Linked DNA regions of Mus musculus. The protein of the gene in region 5 interacts with the protein of the main gene of each other region in a biochemical or structural test. Links are inferred from orthologs where the notes say so. Each region holds a gene or a part of one and is shown on either strand. Other genes may lie near its edges.

Region 1 (3,500 bases), on a different chromosome or scaffold from region 5:
TTCCCGCTGCGGGGCTGGGGCTGCGGGTGGGTCCTGGGATAGTGTTGGGGGCGCCAGGCCCTAGTGCGGCTGCTGGGGATAAGGACAGCACCTGAAGTGGGTGGGGGTGTGTGTGGAGCCTGGCCCAGGGCGAGCGAGGGTTCTCCTGGGCTACGGCTGACATCCTCGGCCTTTGGCACGCGGGGACTAATTGAGGGTCCCCCGGCAGTTCTCGGAGCCACAGAGGCAGGGGATCTTGACATCTTCGATCGGGAACTTGTAGTCGTACGTGATCTCCTCGTTGACGTTGATGTGCTGCTTAGAGTAGATGACGATCTTCTTCTGGGACTCCACCGTGATCACCTTGGCGTAGCAGTTGGGCTGCAAGACAGGGTGGTGATGCGGTTAAGACGGGGTCGGGATCTTGGTCAAAAAGAAATTTTTTTTAAAACCCCTCAGTTTAACAGATTTTGCAATCCATCCAGCCTTGTGGTTTTATGCCTGCTCTTAAGTGAACATTGGCATCGCTCAAAGAAGGTTCAATGTTGAACATAGCAGTCATCTAGGATGATAGAGCAAAGCCGAGTGAACTGGAACTGTTAAACTTAATTCCTAGCTTTTCTCTAGTTACTGTAGGATGTACGTAAGCAGTAAGTGTATTTAGGTTAAAGCAGTTGAATTATGTTAAATGTTGCTCTTATACATACATTGAACACTGTTGATGCATGTTGAAAAAACATGCTTTTTTGTAAAACTATAGGAGCTGCGTCTACAATTAAAGTGATACATTTGGCATGTTTGTTAATTCTTTTTTTTTTTTTTTTTTTTTTTTTTTTGGTTTTTCGAGACAGGGTTTCTCTGTGTAGCCCTGGCTGTCCTGGAGCTCACTTTGTAGACCAGGCTGGCCTCGAACTCAGAAATCCGCCTGCCTCTGCCTCCCGAGTGCTGGGATTAAAGGCGTGCGCCACCACGCCCGGCTATGTTTGTTAATTCTAAATTCATTTGATAACCTGTAAGGCACGTGAGTTTAAAGCTCTTTTTTTTATTTTTAAGTTAATGGAGAAGTTTTAAGAGACAATACCATTATTTTTTAGGATTTTTGGTCTTAGTGTTTGTATGAAATTCTGAGGCCTTGATTTAAGTCTTTCATTGTATTGTGATTTCTTTTTAGGTGTATTGCGCTAAGTGAACCTTGTCAAATAAATCTTCCTTTTAAAAGCTAAAAAAAAAAAAAAAGACGGGGTCGGGAGCCCCAACCCAATCCTCGCCATGGAGTTATAGAAGCCAACTCGTGGGTATCAGCTCCACGAATGGCTCTCCGGCTAGCTCCTCCCATGACCAGTACCAAATAAAAAAGATGCGGAGGCCAGAGAGAGAGAGAGATGGCTCAGAAGTTAAGAAGACTTGCAATTCTTGCAGAGGACCTAAGTTTGGTTCCCATCCTCCATGGGGTGGCTCACTACTATCCCCTAACTCCTCAGTCAGGTGCCCTCTTCAGGCTCCTCTGGGTACCAGGAACACATGCAGTGTATGTACATACATACATACATACATACTAGTAAAACATCCACACACGTTTAAAAAACAACTAAGTCTTTAAGAAGGACCACAATTCTTCCTCATCAGACATACTGCAAGAGAGGCCTGAATCTTTACTTCTACTCAAGTGTCATTTCTGAGCCCTCGATAAGGGGTCTATAAATGGTAGGCCCTACTTGCCTGCTTTAGTAAATAAAGTTTTATTGGCACAGTCTTGCTGTTTTTCATTGGTCTATCACTTGTGGAGAGCAAGGTAAATAGTTACTACAGAGATCAGCAAGCTCACTTCACTAGGAGCCTGAAGCCAAAATCCTCCCCAAGTCCTCCCTCTCCCCAAGTCTCCCTTCTAGCTGGCTCTGGCTCCTCCCCATCATGTCCCTACTTCTGTCACTATCACTCACCTGGTTGGCATCAGTGCTACAACACTGTCTCCCTAGCCTGCAGCTCCCTAGATTCGCTCGGAGAATTCTGTTCCCACCTCCCCAGCACGGGTACCCCACCACACCCCTTTTATGTGGGTTCTGGGGGCTGAACTCAAGTCTCTGTGCTTGCAAGAGACTTGCAAAACCAATTTACCGAGCAATGAGACCAATTACCATCTTGTGTTATCTTGGCTAGTTCAGAGCTCACTATGTTGACCAGGCTAGCTCGCAGAAATTCACCTGCCTCCATCACCTAAATGCTGGGTTTAAAGGTGCGCACCATCACACCTGGCCTCAGCCCACCTCTTGGACACCTTCCGTCTTTCATATGACTCCAGAATTCCTACTGCGCCCATTGTACAGACATAACAACTGAGCTCAAGAGAAAAGCCCCTTATTCAGGCTTCTCATCTCCTCTCTCCCTCCCTGTCACCTGTGGGTCAAATGAAGCCTGGAAAGGAGACTGAACACGATTGCAGTGCCTGAGTTCCTGGGGTCCTCAGTACAGAGGTGGGGACACCCCGGTCCCTCACTGGGCACTTACATTGCAGCTGTGGTTAATGAAGCGTGCAAAGTTGCCGCACTTGGTGGCGTCGATGATGGTGTCATGGTCTACTCTGAACATGTAGCTGCTACCGATGCCTTCATCCTCATACCGTTTCTCCCTCATGTCCGCAATCACCTGGTGGTAGAAAGAGCCTTAAGTCTGGGCCTGCTCCGTGCCCCTGCCACCCCTCACCAGCGCCCTGGGCAGCACCTACCTGGCGGATGTTCTGGCCCACGTACTCGATGACCATCTCGTCAGCAGCAATTGGCTCCATGGCAAACAGGCCCCAGTCGTGAATGTGGCTCTTACAGAATTTGAGCTTCTTCTTTCGAAACTAGGGGACACGGGAGGGAGGGACAGGATTTGTGAGGACTCAGGTCCCACACTGACCTGGCTGCCCCGGAGGAGGTCTAGCCTCACCTTGAGCTGGTTGAACTTGAGCAGGTCGCTGTCACAGCTGCCGGTGAAGGAGGACAAGAGGCGCCTCTGCTCAGACCGCCGCTCTGAGCCTGCCCGAGTAGAGGCATGGGGCTGGGCTGGGATACTCATACCCTGCTGGCACAACGGGGGATGACAAGTCAAAAAGGGACAGACAAGGCCCTGTCACACCCTCTCTGGATCTGCCCCCGCCTCCTGGCTTCAGGAGGCTTAGAGCATCTGTCTTCCTATCAGTCTCCTTTGTTTGTTTTGGTTTCTTGGAGGCAAGGTTTAAGGTTTCTCTGTAGCCCTGGCTGTCCTGGAACTCTTTCTGTAGACCAGGCCTGCCTCTGCCTCCTGAGTGTTAAAGAACTATGCCGTCTCTGGGTTGGAGAGATGGCTCAGTGGTTAAGAGCACTGACTGCTCTTCCTAAATTAAATTTCCAGCAACCAGATGGTGGCTCACAATCATTTGTAATGGGATCTGATGCCCCCTTCTGGTGTGTCTCAGGACAGCTACACTGTACTTATATAAACAAAATAAATAAATAAATCTTAAAAAAAAAAGTGCACTGCCACCACCCACCTCCTATCAG
Region 2 (3,500 bases), on a different chromosome or scaffold from region 5:
ACACAATTTCAAAATAGATCCAAAAATATTATAAAGAAGCATTTAAATGTTATTAGACTTTAGAGTGTATACTTGTGATTTTTTTTTCCCTCAGAAGTTTGATTCATTAATCTCCCTTCTCCCTACTACAGCTCTGGTACAAAATAATCCCAATCCGATTAATGCTTGCTCTCTGCCATCATCATGTAACACACTACACTAATCTCAGAAGGCACTACCTTAGTTCTGCAAAGAACTCAGAATGGTCTCCAGTACACTTAGCATGTGGCTGATAAAGCATTGCATGTCTAATGAGCACAGACACTTATGTTGAACATATATGAGATGCTGAGAGTTCTGATTCTGAGGCCCATGAAAACAATTAAGGATCAAACAAAATCTAGCATTTCCTTGACTCTGAGTATCAAGTTAAAATACAGTATTATTTATTATTTATCACAGTATTATTTATTAATACTATACTCTCACCAGTAGGAAACATGATTTTCCTACAAGTGTTGCACATTCATAGTAGGTAATTACCAATCTTTACCTTGTTATAAAATATAAAACTTAGAGCTAAGTTTGTTAATGCATTATGATACACACATATCAAGAATATAATCAGAGATTATTAACTATGTTACAAATGTGGTCTATTTCTTTTTGAATTTGTATTTTTATTACCTGTATATCTGAAAAGAATTTCAAAGGTTTCATGGTTTTAAGGTTAAAAAGGCTTATGCCATAAAGTTACCTTGAGGGAAGAACAGTGCTAATAAATCCAGCTAGGTAGTAAAAATCTTTACAAATCACTATCTTTACTTTGACATCAAAAATGTGTCTTAATCATACTCAGTGTATTACACAGTTCCCTAAAGCCTATGTCTATATCTTCAACTTATACAATTCTATATTAAATTCTACAATCATTTGCACTCCCTATTATAATTTTTCAACAAGATCATCACAATAAATTGAGATCAGAAATCAGAAACAGCAATACAACACAAAGATCATTCAAGGTACTTGTCAAAAATACAAGCATTCAGACACCATTCCTAGAAAATCCCATTCACTAGGTCTGTAGAAAGGTATAGAAACTGCATTTAAAAGTGTAGTGATGGGGGCACACAAATAATCCTTAAGTTAGAAAGTGATCAAGATTCAGCACTTCACTGGGGTACACAGCCACTGTAACTTAACGATTACTCATCTCTAATATCTCTCTTGAACACACAATTTCCATTTTTCTGTTAGATGTTAAAATTATCCAACTATCCCAGTCTCAGTATCCAAATGTTCCATAAATTACTGTTTTGCCTTTTCTAATTCAAAGTCATGTTGGGACAATTTCATTTCAGAGCTAAATTGATAATTTCCTTAACCACTGAAATTCTTGAATGAAAATCTTAGGCTAACACTTCTTTAAATAAAAAAGTAAACACACACAAACAGTTTGGATTTCCTCACTGACCAAGTCAGTCTTCCTAATGTTTGAGTGGTATATTATTCTGTTTATTTTCCCTAAAATGAAAGGAAATTAATTCCCTGCATTCAGCTGAATTGAAATACTCTTTACAACCAGAAGGTAGGCTTTTGAGGAGCTCTAAGAAGTAGGGGTGTTTTTATGTACATCTACATGCCAGGAAGAAAAAAAAAGCACTTCTACCTACCTGCTCATCACCATTGGTGGCATGCCCAGACTGTTCTGTGCCATCACTTTATTTATGCCTTTAAGGGCTACCATTTTCGCTTTCATTATAGGATCTGTAATAGCATCAAAATCTAAAGAAGAAATGTATTTTGACATTACTTACTTCATAATTTAAGTTCATGGCTCAAGATATATGAAGTGGTAAAATTAAGTATCACAATTACATAATTTATAAATTCTTATACCTTATTCAAGAATCATTATATGTTTCTACACCACATAAGGGAATCTAGAAATGGTAGCTGCATTTTAGGTGTCTATAACTGAAGCATACTTTAAAACAAGTCTGTCAGTCTACAGGGGATCACAACAGTGATGTTCAGCAACGAGAGTCCCAGTGGCTCAAACCTTCACAGTGCCAATTAGAATGATCTTTTTTAGTAATGGACTGAAAGGAATGAGAATTTACAGTTATTTCCAATACTAAAGAATCCCTCTAAATTAGTTATCAGTTTTTAAAAGAAATAAAAAACTACCAATATCTCCAGGATATACCTACAAAATAAAAGTATGAGGATAGTGAGAGCATCTCTTTGCATACATATAAGTGGGAAAAAAGAGTCAAATAATGGAATTTGTACCACATGTTGATACAATGCTTTTTGTTATTAGTTAGAAAAAAATACTCCTCAGATATATGCCTGCTGACTTAATTCTTCTAGGCAAAGCACTGAAGTGTTTGGGTTACATGGACTTGTGTTTTTATTAAAACTAATAAAACAACAAAAATAAGTTGAAAGATGTGTCTGTGGGGGATTAAAAAAAAAACCCTAAAATGCAAAAAACCTTTACCAAACACTTGTGCACAAAAGAACAAGAAACTTTATTTCTATCATAATTTCCTTACATTTATTTCTCATAACAATTGGCAGATAAAACTAAAACCACCATCAACACCATATAAAGCAGAACTGAGTGAGGTAACAATTCAAGGTTATCTTAATTTTGACTGACCTGGAAGGAATCTAAAATTCATCTTTTCATTGTAAAGACCCGAGAAGACAGAAAATTCTCAGATTACACTGATCCAAATGTAATCTCAATAATGAAAATTTACAAGCATGCTGCATGTACTCAGATGCCCCCAGTAACTTATTTTGAGACAGAAGGAATTTCCTACCAATGTTAGGGAAGAATGGTTCTGACCGCTGACGAATCATGGCTTGCATTTGTCTTTGCTGTTGCTGCTCCTGCCTCTCTTGATCCAAAAGATCTTGTAGAAGCAGAGGCTGTTCCTCTAGAAGGAGGGGCCTCTCTCTGTTCTGCTGGGCTAATGTTTGAGGAATCATGAGCTGCTGCGGTCCAGACATGGTGCTGGACTGATTCGTGAGAGGCACAGTTTGATTTGTAGGTTTCCCTGTCCCTAAATTATGGTTCACTGATGATTGGCCCTGAATGAATCCTGGATTTACTGGCACACCCTGAGAAAAAGCATGGTTTATCCTAGGGACCACTGTTACATTAGAATTCACGGTATTATCCAAAAGAGGGCTAGGTGGTACTATTAAAGTAGGAGGCAAACTTGACCCATGAGTGGATGGTGAGATGGGCAGACTTGGTGGGGAGGACCCTGAAGGCCTAATGTCTGAATCATCACACTTCTCATTAGAAAGTAAACTCGAGAGAACTGGAGTCGATCCTGTTATGTCACAGGAGTTCATCACATCCCGAGCAGGCAGAGGAGTGGACCCTTGAATGGCACTGACAACAGGCCCAGCATTCTCCTGGTTACATCTTTTCTCAAGCATATCTTGATCAGTAGTCAATAGAGCAGTCTTTCCTCTGTCACTGTGATTGGTCTGAG
Region 3 (4,174 bases), on a different chromosome or scaffold from region 5:
TGTTTCTTTTAAGCTCAACAGAACCCTGATTTTAACCACTGAACATTTTTTTTTTTTTTTTTTTTTTTTTTTTTTTTGAGACAGGGTTTCTCTGTGTAGCTCTGGCTGTCCTGGAACTCACTCTGTAGACCAGGCTGGCCTCCAACTCAGAAATCCACCTGCCTCAGCCTCCCAGGTCCTGGGATTAAAGACGTGTACCACCACTGCTCGGCTCAGAAGGAACATTTTAAAACTAGCCCAAGGGAGGTGTAACTAGGGTACTGGCCTAACACGCAGAAAGCCCTGAGTTAGATCTCCCAGCATGCTATAAACCGGTTATGGTGTGCACACCTGTAATTCCGGTACTCAGGAAATAGAGGCAAAAGGATCTGGAGTTCGAGGCCATCCTCCGTTATATAGCAAGTTCGATGTCATGCTGTCTGAAAAACAACAGGAGCCCGAATATAAAAGCGGGAAGGAACCGATCATTTCACTCTGTGCGTCGGTAGGCAAAGCGCCTGAGTCACCCCTCCTGGTTGTATTTTTCCACCTCCCACCCCTCCCAGGTTTTGGTGGATTCTAAGGGAAGCAGCCCGTTACGCCGGGCTCCGCACGCCTGGCCACGCCTCTCTCGTTAGCCCCGCCCACAACCGGATCGGCAGATTCGCTACCCGACTCCTTAGGATTATTTGGGCAGCTTTTCTTGTCTGAAAATTTTCAGGAAACGCCGAGAAGACTTCTTCCTTGTAACCATTTCGCACTAAGTAGGAAGTGTGCTGTTCCTTGAGTCGTTCTACTGAAAAAAAAAAAAATCCAGGACTAGAGGTCGACTCTGCCAACAGGGCTTGGCGAGCCAGGCGTCATTTTCTTGACTCTACAGCAGGTGAGAAGAGGTGACGGCCAAAGCCCAGGACGGTGGCGAATCTGCACTGCAGCCTCATAGGCATTCGGGCTGCGCAAGGAAGGGGCAGGGAAGAGGAGCCGAGGAGCGCGCATCCTGTCCACTCATTCGCCCCGCCCGCCTCGCGAATCTGCGTCGTTGGACGCGCCACTCAAATCTCCCGAGCTCTGGCTGGCGTCCTCCCCCTCGCTCCGCCCCCTTCCCTCAGGGGCTCGTCGCAGCTTTCGTCGCCGCCGATTCGCCAGGAACCCCAAGGCCGGAGCAGCTGGATCAGGGTGGTGCGGTCCACTCTCCGGGGAATGCGGCCCATCTTCAGGCTCCCTGGGCTACAACTCCCGAGCCTCGCAGGGCGCCGGCCGAGGCAAGGCCGCTACCCTCGGCCCCGTGGATCGCTCCGCAGTCCTTGTAGCGAAAGTGCGGATGCAGACGCTGTGCCCGCTGGGCCTCGCGCAGGTGGCGGTGGTGTTTGGTGCGCGCGCCGGGGAGGTGGTGGTGGGGGGGCGCCGCCGCCGCCACCGCTGCGGGGCCGGGTCTCGCGCTGCCGCCGCCGCCGCCGCCGCCTCACGCCGCTGAGGTGCTGCGCGCGGTGGGGGGAGGGTGAGCCGCTCGCCACGAGCGGGTGAGTAGGGCCCCGGCGCGCGTGCGCGCCGACGGGGTGGGGGGGGTGGACGACACCGAACGCGCCCGGGCGGGAGGAGAGGGCAGCGGCGCGCGTTACCTCCCCCCACCCCCCCGCCTGGATTCAGGGACCGAAGCTGGGTCTCAGATTCGGTCTCGCGGTGTTTCCAACGCCCCGAAGAGGTGCCACCTCTGGTTCGGAGGATCGGGGCGCGGGGACGCGAGCGGCTGTGTGGGAGCGGGAGCGGGGCTCGGCCCGGGCCGCTTGGCCGGTGAGGAGGCGGGAGGGGGCGGGGCCTGCGAGGGGACGGGGGAGGGGTCTTGCGTGGAGGCCAAGTGGGGCGCGCTGGGGAGAGCGGGAAGGTAAGGGGGCGCGAGATGGGCCTGGGCCCTGAGGGTAGAATTGGGGATGGAGAGGAATGGAGTGCCATAGTGAGCCCAGCTCCTCAGGGCAAGATCTGAGGGAGCCACGGGTCATGCTGAGGTGTCGGGGACTGGACTGATGTGAGACCCTGGAATCGGGGCTAGACATTGAGGGGACAGCAAGGGAGTCAGGCCTAAGTCGTGGACTCCCATTCCGTATCCCTCTTTTCCTGACAGTGTAAATGAGCAAAGATGGACCAGGAAGGTGGGGGAGACGGGCAGAAAGCCCCGAGCTTCCAGTGGCGGAACTACAAGCTCATAGTGGATCCTGCTTTGGACCCTGCTTTGCGCAGGCCTTCCCAGAAGGTGTACCGCTATGACGGAGTCCACTTCAGTGTCAGTGTGAGTGCCCTCGAGCCTTTCTTGACTTATTTGGACCTCCAATCTCCCCTCCCCGCTTCCCCCTGTTCAGTATTCAACACCCAGACTTCCTATACCTGTAGTTTGGTTTTTTGAGAATGAGCAAGCTCTCCCAGCTCTTCTGTATGTTGGCTTCTACATGGGCTTTATAGAGTCAGTAGGCTGGTGAATTTTCAGCCTGGTTTCATCTCTTCCTGCTTTCTTTGTTAGGACTCAAAGTATACCCCCGTGGAAGACCTCCAGGACCCCCGCTGTCATGTCAGGTCCAAAGCCAGAGACTTTTCCCTCCCGGTTCCTAAGTTTAAGGTGAGTGCCTGCTGGTCTCCCTGCATGTTGGTCCTTGGAGAGTGTCAAGGACCCTGGGCTTCACACAGTCTACCAAAGTGTTTATTCCGAAGGAACTATGACAGCCAGATCTCATTGCTTTTTGTGTCTGTGAGACTGAGATGTTTTGGACAGAAGGTATACATGTATAGCTGAGGTGACTCTAGTATATATCTGGTGACAAGGGTATTGATGTCTGGAAGGATGAGGTATGGGTGGGTATTCTGAAGCCTTGTGACAGTGGGATAGCCAAGTTATTCAGCAATTAAGGATGCTGCTAAGACCACTGTGCACTTGGAGTTGTGTGTTCTTGCTGTCATTGTGTGTGCTCCTCTGTCCTGTCTGTACGAGCAGCTTGCTTCCCTACTGTAATAAGATATTCTTCAAACTTCGGACTGTCTCGAAAATTGGTAGTTCTTTGTCTCCTCCTAATTTTGTTTTTGTTTTCTTTTACTGATTATTGGTAAAGTAAGTTGTGCAGTGGCTTCACCCTTCTGAATCCCCCCTTTCTTGAGCAGCTTTACTGAAAGCTCTTCTGTCTGAATGTTTATGTCTCATACCTCCTTCCTGCCAGCATCTACTGAGACACTAAAACATCATCTTTCTTCCCTGAGTCCTGCTCTCCTCACTTCCTCTTGACTGATGAATGGCAATACCAGGTACTCGGGTACCCAAGCTGGAAGCCTGGAGTCACCCAGTAGTTCTTTCCTTTCGTCTTAATCTTTAGGTTTCCATTGCCATGTTCTTCATGCAGAGTCCGATGTTTGCTCGCTTTCTGCAGCTTTCCTCAGTTTTAGGCTCCATCTTGCTGTTGTCACTGGTTTTAATGTTCTTATTTTAATTTTGTTTTCCAAGTCTGTTTTTCTTTTTTATTATATTATTTTTCATGTGTGTACATTCATAAATAAGCTTGCATGCCATTGTGCACATGTAGAAGTTAGAGCACAACTTGTGGGAATTGGTTTTCATCATGGGTCCTAGTGGTCAAACTCAAGGTTGTCAGGCTTGGTGACAAGTGTCTGTACCTACTGAGCCATATTGCTGGCATCCTAAGTCTGTTTTGAGGCATTGACATGTGTGGTTATTGATCTGGGCAGGCCTTATCACCTCTTTGACACCATATCCCTGTAATATTCCACCAGACACTTTTCAGTGTTTAGAAAATATCAAGATGGATAAATTTCATGTCTTGGAAGTTTGTTGTTTTGGTAAACTTTAAGCATCTACAGAGTCCAGAAAGAATGATAGCGGCTCCCCAATACCCTGTCTCTACATCTTTGCTACCACTGTGTTATATTTATATTTATATCTGGCTTATCTTTTTTTTTTTTTGAAACAAGTACTCCCTAGGTAGCCGCTGGCCTTGAACTAAGAATCCTGTGCTTCAGCCTCCCATGTGCTAGCATTGTAAGAGTGCACGGCACACTCGGCTCTGTCTTGTCTCTTTTCTGAATGGGAACTTTTCCTTTTTTTCTGTTTCTAGTAATTAGCTTATGCTAGTCTGTAACCCTGAACTAATAGATTACTTTCTTCTATTACTTTGTCCTATGTATGTTAATTCTTGTTTTG
Region 4 (2,386 bases), on a different chromosome or scaffold from region 5:
CCGCACACCGCAGGCACGGGCTCGGGATTCCCCGCTTTGGCGTTCACCGGCGTCAGTTTAAACTACACATACACGTTTGGAAGCAAAACACCATGATTGTCAGTGAGTTCTATTTTTTAACCAAATCCGTAAAGATGCACCACAGTTTGATTTCTATCCTTTTCTGGACTCACGTTTTTTGAAATTATGTGGACGACATTTCTCATCCTCTGACGTGATCTAAATAATCATTATTACTATTGTTTGATACCCTGATTGTGACCTTTGGGGGAATCCTTGAATACAGCCCATGTTATCCTTGAAAGCCTTTGCTTCAGAAATCCTTTTTTTTTTTTTTTTCCTAATTTTCTTTCAGATCTAAAGATGTTTTATTTTGTTTGATAAAGCGTCATTTCAGTGTACTCTAAGCCTCAAAATTATTATCCTTCTGATTCAGCTACCGAGTACTGAAGTTATAAGCATGGACTACTGTTCTTTGAGTCATATCTTCTAGTTTTTTTTTTTTTTTAATTAACGTACGTTAACTGTGCTTAGTAATGGGTTTCATTTTGATAACTTCACACACACACACACACACACACACACACACACACACACACACACACCAGCTCTCCCCTTTTTTTCCTCTTCCCTCTGGTCCCTTTCTCTCTATAAATACCACCCCGACCCCATTTTTATGCTTTTTTTTTTTTTTTTTTTTTAATCTAGCTTCCACATGCTAGAGAACCCATGCCATGCTTTTCTTCCTGCCTGGATCCAGCTTACTTAACACTGTGATCTTGAGTTCTTTCCATTGTTCCAGCAAACGACACAATTTCTTTTCGTTTTTCTCTTTATTTTTTTCCATCTCTACCCCTCCCTATTTTTAAAAAATAGTGTTAATACTATGTAGCCCTGGCTAACCTCAAACACACAGATATCCACCATCCTTTGCCTCCCGAGTCCTGGAATTAAGCTTAACTGCTGAGCTACCTCCAGCCCTCGCCCCCAGGGGCGTCCTCAGACCAGGTGGATGTTTTTTTAGTATTCCAGAACTCAGGAAAACTATGCCTCGTTGTTATATAAAGGAAGCATGCAGAAAGGTTCTAGAAGGTTCTTTGTGTCTTGGGAGTCGAGGCAAGATTGTTTTGTTTTTTTATTTAACAACAACAATAAAAGCTCCAAGAAAGCGACTTGAGTTTTTTCCACAGACCCCGCTGCCCTCCTACCGAGCCGCAACTAACAGTTCCAGAGTCCACACCACTCAGAGAGAATATAAGAGGCAGGGTGTAAAGTCAATCCCCCAATGGACCAATCAGAGTGCAGCATCCCATAATGCCACCTGGTGGGCAGCCAATAGGAATGTAGCTGGGTCTATAAAAGCAGTGCTACTCGCCCCCCACATTGTGCACCTGAGGAGCAAGGGAGGCGGACGATTCAGGAAGATGGCACGCACCAAGCAGACGGCACGGAAGTCGACGGGAGGCAAGGCTCCGCGCAAGCAGCTAGCCACGAAGGTGGCCCGCAAGAGCGCCCCGGCCACCGGGGGCGTGAAGAAGCCGCACCGCTACCACCCTGGCACGGTGGCGCTGCGCGAGATCCGGCGCTACCAGAAGTCCACCGAGCTGCTGATTCGCAAGTTGCCATTCCAGCGCTTGGTGCGTGAGATCGCCCAGGACTTCAAGACCGACCTGCGCTTCCAGAGCTCCGCGGTGATGGCGCTGCAGGAGGCCTGCGAGTCGTACCTCGTGGGGCTGTTCGAAGACACGAACCTGTGCGCTATCCACGCCAAGCGGGTGACCATCATGCCCAAAGACATCCAGTTGGCTCGGCGCATCCGCGGAGAACGGGCTTAGGCTCCCACAGGCACCGCTCATGAACCCAACGGCTCTTTTCAGAGCCACCCACAGAGTCAGAAAAAGTGTCTGTAACGTAGACTTAGGTGTCCTGTCTCCTCAGGAGGTGAAGACAAGGTGGCCGGCAATCGAAGTGTCTCCCCAGATCAGTCTAGAGGGCTTAGCAGCTAATCCTTGCCCATTGAGCTATTTGACTTGCAGCTCCGTCCTATTCTAACCTGCCTTCCCTTGATAGGTATAGTGGCCTGAGCCCTTGTACTACAAGATGATGGTTGTGTTGCTGACTGGTTTTACCAAGTGAAGGTAGCTCCTACCGGCAGTAAACGTGCTATGTTTGCATAGTTGATAGTATCCAAACGCATCTGCTCAGTAACCAAGTTACTTATGTTTTGTGTTTTAAGGCTCATAATGCCTGGTATTAAAAAGGCTAGCTATTCCTGTACTTGAAAAGTTGGCCTTTCTCCTGATGGAAAGCCCAGTGAACTGCCTTTGATTAAAGTTAATTTTGCCCATCTGTTAACGGCGGCAGCAAAAGAGTCAGGAAAGTGTTA
Region 5 (4,133 bases):
TTCAAATCCCAGCAACCATATGGTGGCTCACAACCACCCGTAATGAGATCTGATACCCTCTTCTGGTGCGTCTGAAGACAGCTACGGTGTACTTACATATAATAAATAAATAAATAAATAAATAAATAAAAGAATAAAAAGGAGAAACACGACCACCACATTGAACCCTCCAACAAATCAACTGTCCCAAGCTGGGGATAACTGTCACCCTATCCCAGGGCTGACGCTTCAGACACTCTGTGTGATGGCCTAGGCTTCCCACTGTAGCAGACAGGTGTATACAGGGATGTGAGTTTGCTTCAAAGAGCCCTTGACACAGTATTTAAAAGGCTTTCTAACAGAAACAACAGGCCAAGTAACAGGAGGTAGACTTTCTGTGCACAAGTCTGTGAACTTACCCAAATTCTAAAATACACCCAAATAATTTGACGAAACACAGTGGCCTCACCTCCTCAGTGGCTCCCTGTGACCTCATAAACTGCAACATGCCTTTAACAATACCTAGAGCTTACAGAGCACAGGGACTCAGTGCACAAAGTACTACCGAAAGCGCTCCAAGAATAAAACAGAGTAGTCACTGCCCCCATGTGAAAGAAACCTCTGGGGGAGCAGCACAAACAACAGCAGATAAGCTGCAGGTCTGAGGGAAAGTAGTTATTCCAGTCAGCTGGACAGACTCAGCCTGAACATGTATGCAACTGCAACAGTTTACTGCAGTTTACAGGAGGGCCCATCACCTGCACGCATCCAGAAAAGCACACCACCTGACTGGGAAATGAGCTAGTACTCCTCTAACGGAGAGCTACTGAGACATTCCTCAGCCATCAATGTAAGGAGCAATCATAATGTAAAGTCTGGCTTTGAGGTTAAACCTGAAACCTCACATGGACCCCCACATAAGACTAAGATGAAAGGACACCAAAAGAGAACAATGCCTCAAAGTCTTCAATCCTAGAGGAAAGAACAGGAACACCATGCACCACACAGGTGCAGCCAAGCTGTTTTACCTGCAGCCATCTCCATCAAGGTCAAATCCGCTGTAGCTCAAGCCCAGGTGCAAGGATCAGACTAGGGTAGGTCCCAGGGGCCTCTCCACAAACAAAGCTCTTGTGCCCAGGAAATACCAGCTGCTTGGTGCTTTTAGCTTTTTGGAGACAGGGTCTTGCTATGCACTGGTATTAAAAAACCAGTCTCAAGCTTGGTATGGTTGGTGTAACAGGCATAAATCAACTACCAGGCCTGACCTGGTGCTTATTCTTAATGCAACTATGGCCATGAGTTCCCATAGCAACCACTTTTGTGGACCATACAGGTAGCAACAGGAGCTGAGACTTAAGTAATGAAAAGGGCTAGAAAGTCTCTTTCAACCAGCATCTCATCTCCCTACTCCAGTGAAATGAAAGGCCAACAGTGTAGGGCAGATCTATCTCCAGTGTGGGAAGTCTCTAGGAACTAAGCTTCTTTTAGCATATAAAGAGATTCACCTAACAGCAGGTGGATGACCTTGCCAACAAGCACACCACCACCCAGCCCTGCCCATCACATCGTTAATAAGCTGGGTCTTTCAGGAAGACAAATATTAACATCTGAAGACACTAGTTGTAGCACCACCCACTTTAATTCCAGCTCTAAGGATGAAGAGCTCTAAGGATGTGGGCCCCAAACAACCAACCAAAAAACAAAAACAAAAACGGGGAAGAAAGAAAGAAAGAAAGAAAGAAAGAAAGAAAGAATATCAACATTAGCCAATCTGCCTCACAGCATTCAGGAGGCTCAGGAATTCAAAGCAGTTAAATGTGAGGCTAGCATCAACCTGAAACCGGCTCAAAGGAGACCACCACTTTCCAATTCCACAGGGTAGAGTCCAAGACAGAGCACTCAGGAAAGCAGGACTTGGGGAGGGCAGGTCTGGGAGGAAGCTGGGTTAAGCAGGATCCTCAGCAGGTGGTTTGGAGCTGGCCTCCACTGCCCACAAAGGAGGTAGGTAACCGGCAGCCGCAGCCGGGGCTTTACACTAGAGTGAGCCTGACTATGGAAGGGCAGCAGCCATCAGTCTCCCTCCAGTCAAATGTAGACTCCTGGTTTCCACCCTAGTACACAAGTATGGGAAGACAGAATGGTTCAGTCACTCAGGTGAGTGCAGTAGGTAACCCAACAAAGAACTCCAACCCATCCTCTCTGGGCTCCTAGATACCTAGGTACTAGTAGCCTTGGCTTCACACCACTGTGCGCTCAACTGCCCGGCTGTCCCGGACAATGTTCAGAAACCCTTGACCGGTCAGCCCTAGTCAGGTAGAAACTTGCGCTAGGACACAAATGAGGGTTGTGCCCGCAGCACGAGAGGCGCCAAGTGGCCAAGGAAACCTGCGCGACGCTGGCTGGGTGTCCCCGATGAGACAGAGAATTCCACTCCCAGTGACGCCAGTCTGAGGTGTGAGTCTCGAGAAGCTCGCAGGACTAAGGGTCTAGGGGCGTAGCAGGGGCCGCAGTGGAAGTAGCGGGCCGTGGCGGCCACAAGGGGCGGCGGGGTCGGGGCGCGGCCGCAAATGCGGCGTCCGGCCCGGCCCGAGGCCCTCGGAACACGTGCGGCGCTGTGGAGCCCGGAGCCCGAGGGCCCTCGTGGCCGCCGCTCGCCTCGCGCCCGCGGGACCGGGTTTCTCGCTTACCTGCCGGGGCCGCGGCGGCGGGGCCGGGCGCTCTGGCGTCGCGTCGGCTAGCCCTACGCGCGAGAGCAGACGATCTGCTGGACTAGGCGGCAGCGGCGCGGGAGGCGGGAGGGATTGCGCGTGCGCGAGGGGCGGGACAACGGGCGGCGACGAGGGTCAGAAAAACTAGAGGAGGCGGAGCGCCTTAAAGGGGCCGTCTGTGGTTCTCGCTTCCTATTTGACCGCTACTGGTGTTCGGTAACTGCAGACTGGAGCACTCTAGAATTAAAGATGGGTGAGAACGTGCTTAGGTGCCTCTCCTGTTATTCTAGGCTGTGTAGCCAAGCTAACAGTTACAATTTGCCTGTGCTGGCCCGTGCCTGCCCAGGACTGTTGGGAAACCTCTTGGTGCCACTGGTGGATGTCCACGAGGTCCGGAAGTCCGGAGCTCCTGCGGCCTCCCCAGCCTACCGCAAGGCGGGGGGCTTCCTGCCGCTGCAAACCACAGCTCAAATTGAACATACTTGCCTCTCTTCTACAGGGCCATAAGGAGGCTACGCTGTACCACCACCACCACCCCACACAGACACACTCCGAAAAAGGTCTTAGGAGCTACCGCTGCAGGGAGAGATCTACAGTAGTGTCCAGGGAAGGCAGGGCACTACTGTAGAGAAGGAAGCCTGCACGCTGACAAGAGAGGAGCTACCTGACTTAGAAGACAAACAAGAAAGAATGTGGACAGGAAAGGCAAGTGTCCCTAACACAGGGGCTCCAAGTCCTCCAGCTATGCATGCATCTGGAACGATGCAGTTGCACCTGAATGTAGGCTCAGGCAGTTCACATTCCAGGCAGCCACAGCATCCACTACAATCTGGCTCCTGTGTGGCTCTGGAGCTCCATTTTAAAGGCTTTATCTCATTTTCACAAGACAGCCCCTAGCAGGCTGGCCGGCCTGCAGTTAGCAAAGTTTTGACAGCCCTCTTTCCTGTTGGACCACCTCTACTCCTGTCACTAACGGGGAAAACACCCAGAGAGGAGGACACAGGGACAGAAGGAGAACCTGGAGCCAGGTCTGCACCTCTCACTTCACTGTCTAACTCACATGGTCTTAGACTCTTGGAGGTGGCTATGACCTGTGCAGCCTCATCTTCCAGTCTGGGAATATCAAATATAACGCGTGGGGAACCTGTGCAGAGGGAGGGACTAAGCAACTGAAGCTTGAGAATGGAGAGTGTGTGGTTGCCATAGCTACAAGAGTGTGAGAAGACTGACATTGGCCTGGAATCTCCTGCTAAAGGCACAGAAACAGTTCAGACGAATCTGTGTGTCTAACAGACCTATGCCAGGAGCCCTGGATGGAGTGGAGCATGGGATGGTAAGAATAACATCTCCGTATCTGCCTAGCTAACCGGACTGGAAACCAAACCTAATCCTCTGCCACCCACCTCTCAGATAACATTCAAACCTGTCCACCTCCATCCTCATCCC
Region 6 (3,500 bases), on a different chromosome or scaffold from region 5:
CCTCCAGAATGTCTAGACAGCGTACCATCTGGGAGAAGATCAGAACTTTATGGCCACCAGCTTTAAGCTTTGGAAGTAACTTGTCAATGAGAACTAACTTGCCAGCTGACCGAACCATAGCCTGCAGGTGGAAATCTTGAGGTATAATATGGCAAGCTTCCCGAAATTCCATCAGGATTTTCTCTTCTGCACCTGCAAATAAAATAGACAAAGTTAATGTTGGGAATAAGTAAAACATATAGTCTTATTTAAGACAGTGGCTTGAAGTAAATAGTCAAAGAAAAGAATCATGATCTCTTTGTAGTTGTCCCCTCTTCCACAGCACAGGGTTTCTCTGTGTGGCCCTGGCTGTCCTGGAACTCACTTTGTAGACCAGGCTGGCCTCAAAACTCTCAGTAATCCGCCTGCCTCTGCCTCTGGAGTGCTGAGATTAAAGGCATGCGCCACCACACTCACTTAAGTAGTATGATCTTTTACCTTTCCTTCCTTCCTCCCTCCCTCCCTCCCTCCCTCCCTCCCTCCCTCCCTCCCTCCCTCCCTCCCTCCCTCCTTCTCTAGACAGAAATGCATGCATACCAGCACTTGCATTCCCATGTGAATTTGAGCCCAGGAGCATGCCCAAGTTCACTAGGAAGTCAAACTAGGATGTCAGGTGTTCTGCTCTACCATCCTCTGTCACCTTCTACTGACAGAGGGTCTCATATGAAACAACCTGGAGCTAGTCCAGCTCCTAACATACCCAGAAGTCCTCTTATTTCTACCCCAAGAGGCATTTAAGATGTGAGTGGCCATGCCCAATTTTTCATATGGGTACTGGGAATTCAAATTCAGGTCCTGATGCTTGTGCAGCAAATGCTCTTGTCCATCTCCTTTTAACAATAATATCAACATTTCTTACAGAAAGTTCAGCAAGAAAATATCCAAACTAATCTATTTTTCTATACAACACATTCTAAGGCAAGGCTTTCCTGAATAACTGAATTTTAAGAACACATAAATAACAGACAAGAACTAAAATGGAACATACCTGTTCCCCTACCCCAAATCCAAAATGAAGTACAAGAAATTTTACCCAGGACAAAGAATAACTTGAGTTCTTAGTCATGAAATTGTACATAGAAAATCGTATTCAATTTGAGGGACTATGTAAAACCAAGGAAACAGAAGTGATAAGAGAGGGTGGTTGGCAAGACAGCTCAATAGATAAAGGTGCTTGCTGTGTAAACCTGGCAGCCAGAGTCTGATCCCTGTGACCCACAGGAACGTAGAAGGAGAGCAGACTTACAATACCGTCCTCTCAACTCCACGTGTGCTGTGGCACTCCTACACACACACACACACACACACACACACACACACAAAATACTAAGAGAATCCTTTCCTAAACCACTGCGCCTAATTCCTAGTTACGGTTCAGTCAACACACGGCTCTCTTTAAGACTTTGAATTCCTCACCATTGATGAGGTACGGGTGATTGCAGCACTTTCGTAGCTCCATCATTGTGTTCAGTAGATTAGGCATATTGGTATGACCTGCCCCTTTGGAAAGGAAGGAGAAATTCTTCTCTAAAATAGCTCTGTAGTATTTCTTCTGGATGTTGGTTAGCTCTACTTCAATAATAGTTTCCTGTTTGGGAGCCAAATTTTTTTCAACATCCTCTTTGAGTCTCCTCAGCATCATTGGCTTTAGAATGGCCTGAAGCTTTTGAACCTGTGGTTCATTATAAAGAGGAAAAAAAAAATCACTCACTTTACATTGTATCATAAAGAGAAAAAGAAACAAATAAGATTATATGGAAACACAAAAAAATAGTTTCCCACTATCTCAAGACTACAGATAATGTCACAAGTGATATGGGCAAAACCTGAGGAAGGCCCAAGGTAATCATAGCTTATCAGACAGGTGGCTTACCTGCTCCTCGGTCTTGAGATCCCCAAAATCCTTAAGGAATTCTGATTCTGAGGGGAACTGAGAAGGTTCCAAGAAATGCAGTAGACTGAACAGTTCCTCTACGGTATTTTGTAACGGTGTCCCTGTGAGTAACACTTTATGCTCCTGTAAGCGAGAAGAGAATGTGCAGAAACCCCATTAAGGATACAGTTAGTTTTAGTTTATCTACTGGTAATAGATCAGATTTCTGTCTTAGCTTTTCTTTTTTTTTTTTTTTTTTTTGTGGGGGTGGGGGAGGTTTCGAGGCAGGGTTTCTCTGTATAGCCCTGGCTATCCTGGAACTCACTTTGTAGACCAGACTGGCCTAGAACTCAGAAATCCGCCTGTCTCTGCCTCCCAAGTGCTGGGATTAAAGGCGTCTGCCACCACGCCCAGCTCAACTTTTCTTTTTCTTGCTTACTTATTAACAAAAACCATTTAAGAAATGCCCTTATCTAACATATTGAAACTAAATACTGACTTAAGCCAAATAAAGTACTAGTGACTCAGATTACATTATTTCTAAATTCATGTCTCTCCATATTCAACTATGCAAAGAAATCCTAATATGTCTCTCTGTAAAATGTTTCCATAGTGGACTAAAGAAACTGTAGTTTCTTGAAGTAAGGTTCACCCCCTTGAATTCAGGCTTCCCTTTTGGCTAGCTCTGACAAAAAGAATACACCTTGAGTCTCATAGCTCAAGGCCACTTGACCCTTTTCAATATGGAAATACAGAAAAATAGTTTCCCAATATCTGAAGACTACAGATGATGCCACACGTGATATGGGCAGAACCTGAGGAAGTGATCTGAGGAAGTGATCTGGCCTGATATCACTTTGTAGAGAAGCCCACCTAATCTGGCCCACTAGAAGGTTTGAGGCCATGTGCCATACATATAAGTGCTCCAAAGAATAACTAGTATCAACAGCCGAGTGCAGCAACATTAATAACCCAGGAAAGGTTGGGTGCGGTGATCCCAGCACTGGGGAGGCAGAGGCAGGAGGATCTCTGAGTTTAAGGCCAGCCAGGTCTAAAGAGTGAGTTCCAGGACATCCAGGGCTACACAGAGAAACCCTGTCCCAAAAGACCAAATCAAACAAACACCTAGGAGAGACTATATGAATATGGCCCAAATGGTTCAATTAGAGAATCATGAAAAACAGAGTTGTTGTTTTAGATATGAATCTTTGGGGTAGGTAACTAAGGCATATTTCCATTGCTCCTTGTGACTAAGAAGCACCCATTCATAATTCATTTCCAAACCGAAAACTTAAGACGTTTACACGATCTCCAGGGCCCTTAATATAGGTTCCATTGTTCTCTGCTAAGTTAGAGCAATTTTCATTTCACAGGGAAATCAGATTCAATTTCAGAGTGTCTACAAGTCATCTTAGGAAACTCACCAGGTCCATGTGCTTGAGACTATCAAGTAGCTTGCAATTACGGTTCTTCAGCCTATGGGCTTCATCAATGATAACACAACGCCATTCAATTTCACGAAGCTCAGGACAGTCTGACAAAATCATCTCAAAAGTGGTGATCAAGGCATCAAACTTATATGCACCAG

Evidence for each region.
Region 1: the proteins of Wdr5 (region 5) and Setd1b interact in a test that uses a peptide from one of them, tested with the Homo sapiens proteins (3 studies listed by BioGRID, with this or other methods). The link is inferred for Mus musculus from reciprocal best matches to the Homo sapiens genes WDR5 and SETD1B.
Region 2: the proteins of Wdr5 (region 5) and Kmt2c form a complex in vitro, tested with the Homo sapiens proteins (4 studies listed by BioGRID, with this or other methods). The link is inferred for Mus musculus from reciprocal best matches to the Homo sapiens genes WDR5 and KMT2C.
Region 3: the proteins of Wdr5 (region 5) and Setd1a form a complex in vitro, tested with the Homo sapiens proteins (4 studies listed by BioGRID, with this or other methods). The link is inferred for Mus musculus from reciprocal best matches to the Homo sapiens genes WDR5 and SETD1A.
Region 4: the proteins of Wdr5 (region 5) and H3f4 form a complex in vitro, tested with the Homo sapiens proteins (4 studies listed by BioGRID, with this or other methods). The link is inferred for Mus musculus from reciprocal best matches to the Homo sapiens genes WDR5 and H3-4.
Region 6: the proteins of Wdr5 (region 5) and Chd8 form a complex in vitro, tested with the Homo sapiens proteins (2 studies listed by BioGRID). The link is inferred for Mus musculus from reciprocal best matches to the Homo sapiens genes WDR5 and CHD8.

Annotation. Positions count from the first base shown.
Region 1 is NC_000071.6:123,162,693-123,166,192, reverse strand, and holds part of Setd1b (histone-lysine N-methyltransferase SETD1B), read right to left. Parts: intron 3,043-3,500; coding exon of another isoform or gene 3,040-3,042; coding exon 2,908-3,039; intron 2,822-2,907; coding exon 2,702-2,821; intron 2,623-2,701; coding exon 2,485-2,622; intron 361-2,484; coding exon 187-360; 3' UTR 1-186. UniProt on the Homo sapiens protein: Histone methyltransferase that catalyzes methyl group transfer from S-adenosyl-L-methionine to the epsilon-amino group of 'Lys-4' of histone H3 (H3K4) via a non-processive mechanism.
Region 2 is NC_000071.6:25,306,784-25,310,283, forward strand, and holds part of Kmt2c (histone-lysine N-methyltransferase 2C), read right to left. Parts: coding exon 2,817-3,500; intron 1,768-2,816; coding exon 1,656-1,767; intron 1-1,655. UniProt on the Homo sapiens protein: Histone methyltransferase that catalyzes methyl group transfer from S-adenosyl-L-methionine to the epsilon-amino group of 'Lys-4' of histone H3 (H3K4).
Region 3 is NC_000073.6:127,776,015-127,780,188, forward strand, and holds the start of Setd1a (histone-lysine N-methyltransferase SETD1A), read left to right. Parts: upstream 1-1,374; 5' UTR 1,375-1,499; intron 1,500-2,098; 5' UTR 2,099-2,113; coding exon 2,114-2,263; intron 2,264-2,491; coding exon 2,492-2,587; intron 2,588-4,174. UniProt on the Homo sapiens protein: Histone methyltransferase that catalyzes methyl group transfer from S-adenosyl-L-methionine to the epsilon-amino group of 'Lys-4' of histone H3 (H3K4) via a non-processive mechanism.
Region 4 is NC_000077.6:58,960,388-58,962,773, forward strand, and holds H3f4 (predicted gene 12260), read left to right. Parts: upstream 1-1,323; 5' UTR 1,324-1,424; coding exon 1,425-1,835; 3' UTR 1,836-1,886; downstream 1,887-2,386. UniProt on the Homo sapiens protein: Core component of nucleosome. Nucleosomes wrap and compact DNA into chromatin, limiting DNA accessibility to the cellular machineries which require DNA as a template.
Region 5 is NC_000068.7:27,513,814-27,517,946, reverse strand, and holds the start of Wdr5 (WD repeat-containing protein 5), read right to left. Parts: upstream 2,801-4,133; 5' UTR 2,667-2,800; intron 2,642-2,666; exon of another isoform or gene 2,195-2,641; intron 1-2,194.
Region 6 is NC_000080.6:52,216,261-52,219,760, forward strand, and holds part of Chd8 (chromodomain-helicase-DNA-binding protein 8), read right to left. Parts: coding exon 3,337-3,500; intron 2,057-3,336; coding exon 1,913-2,056; intron 1,712-1,912; coding exon 1,456-1,711; intron 193-1,455; coding exon 1-192. UniProt on the Homo sapiens protein: ATP-dependent chromatin-remodeling factor, it slides nucleosomes along DNA; nucleosome sliding requires ATP. Acts as a transcription repressor by remodeling chromatin structure and recruiting histone H1 to target genes.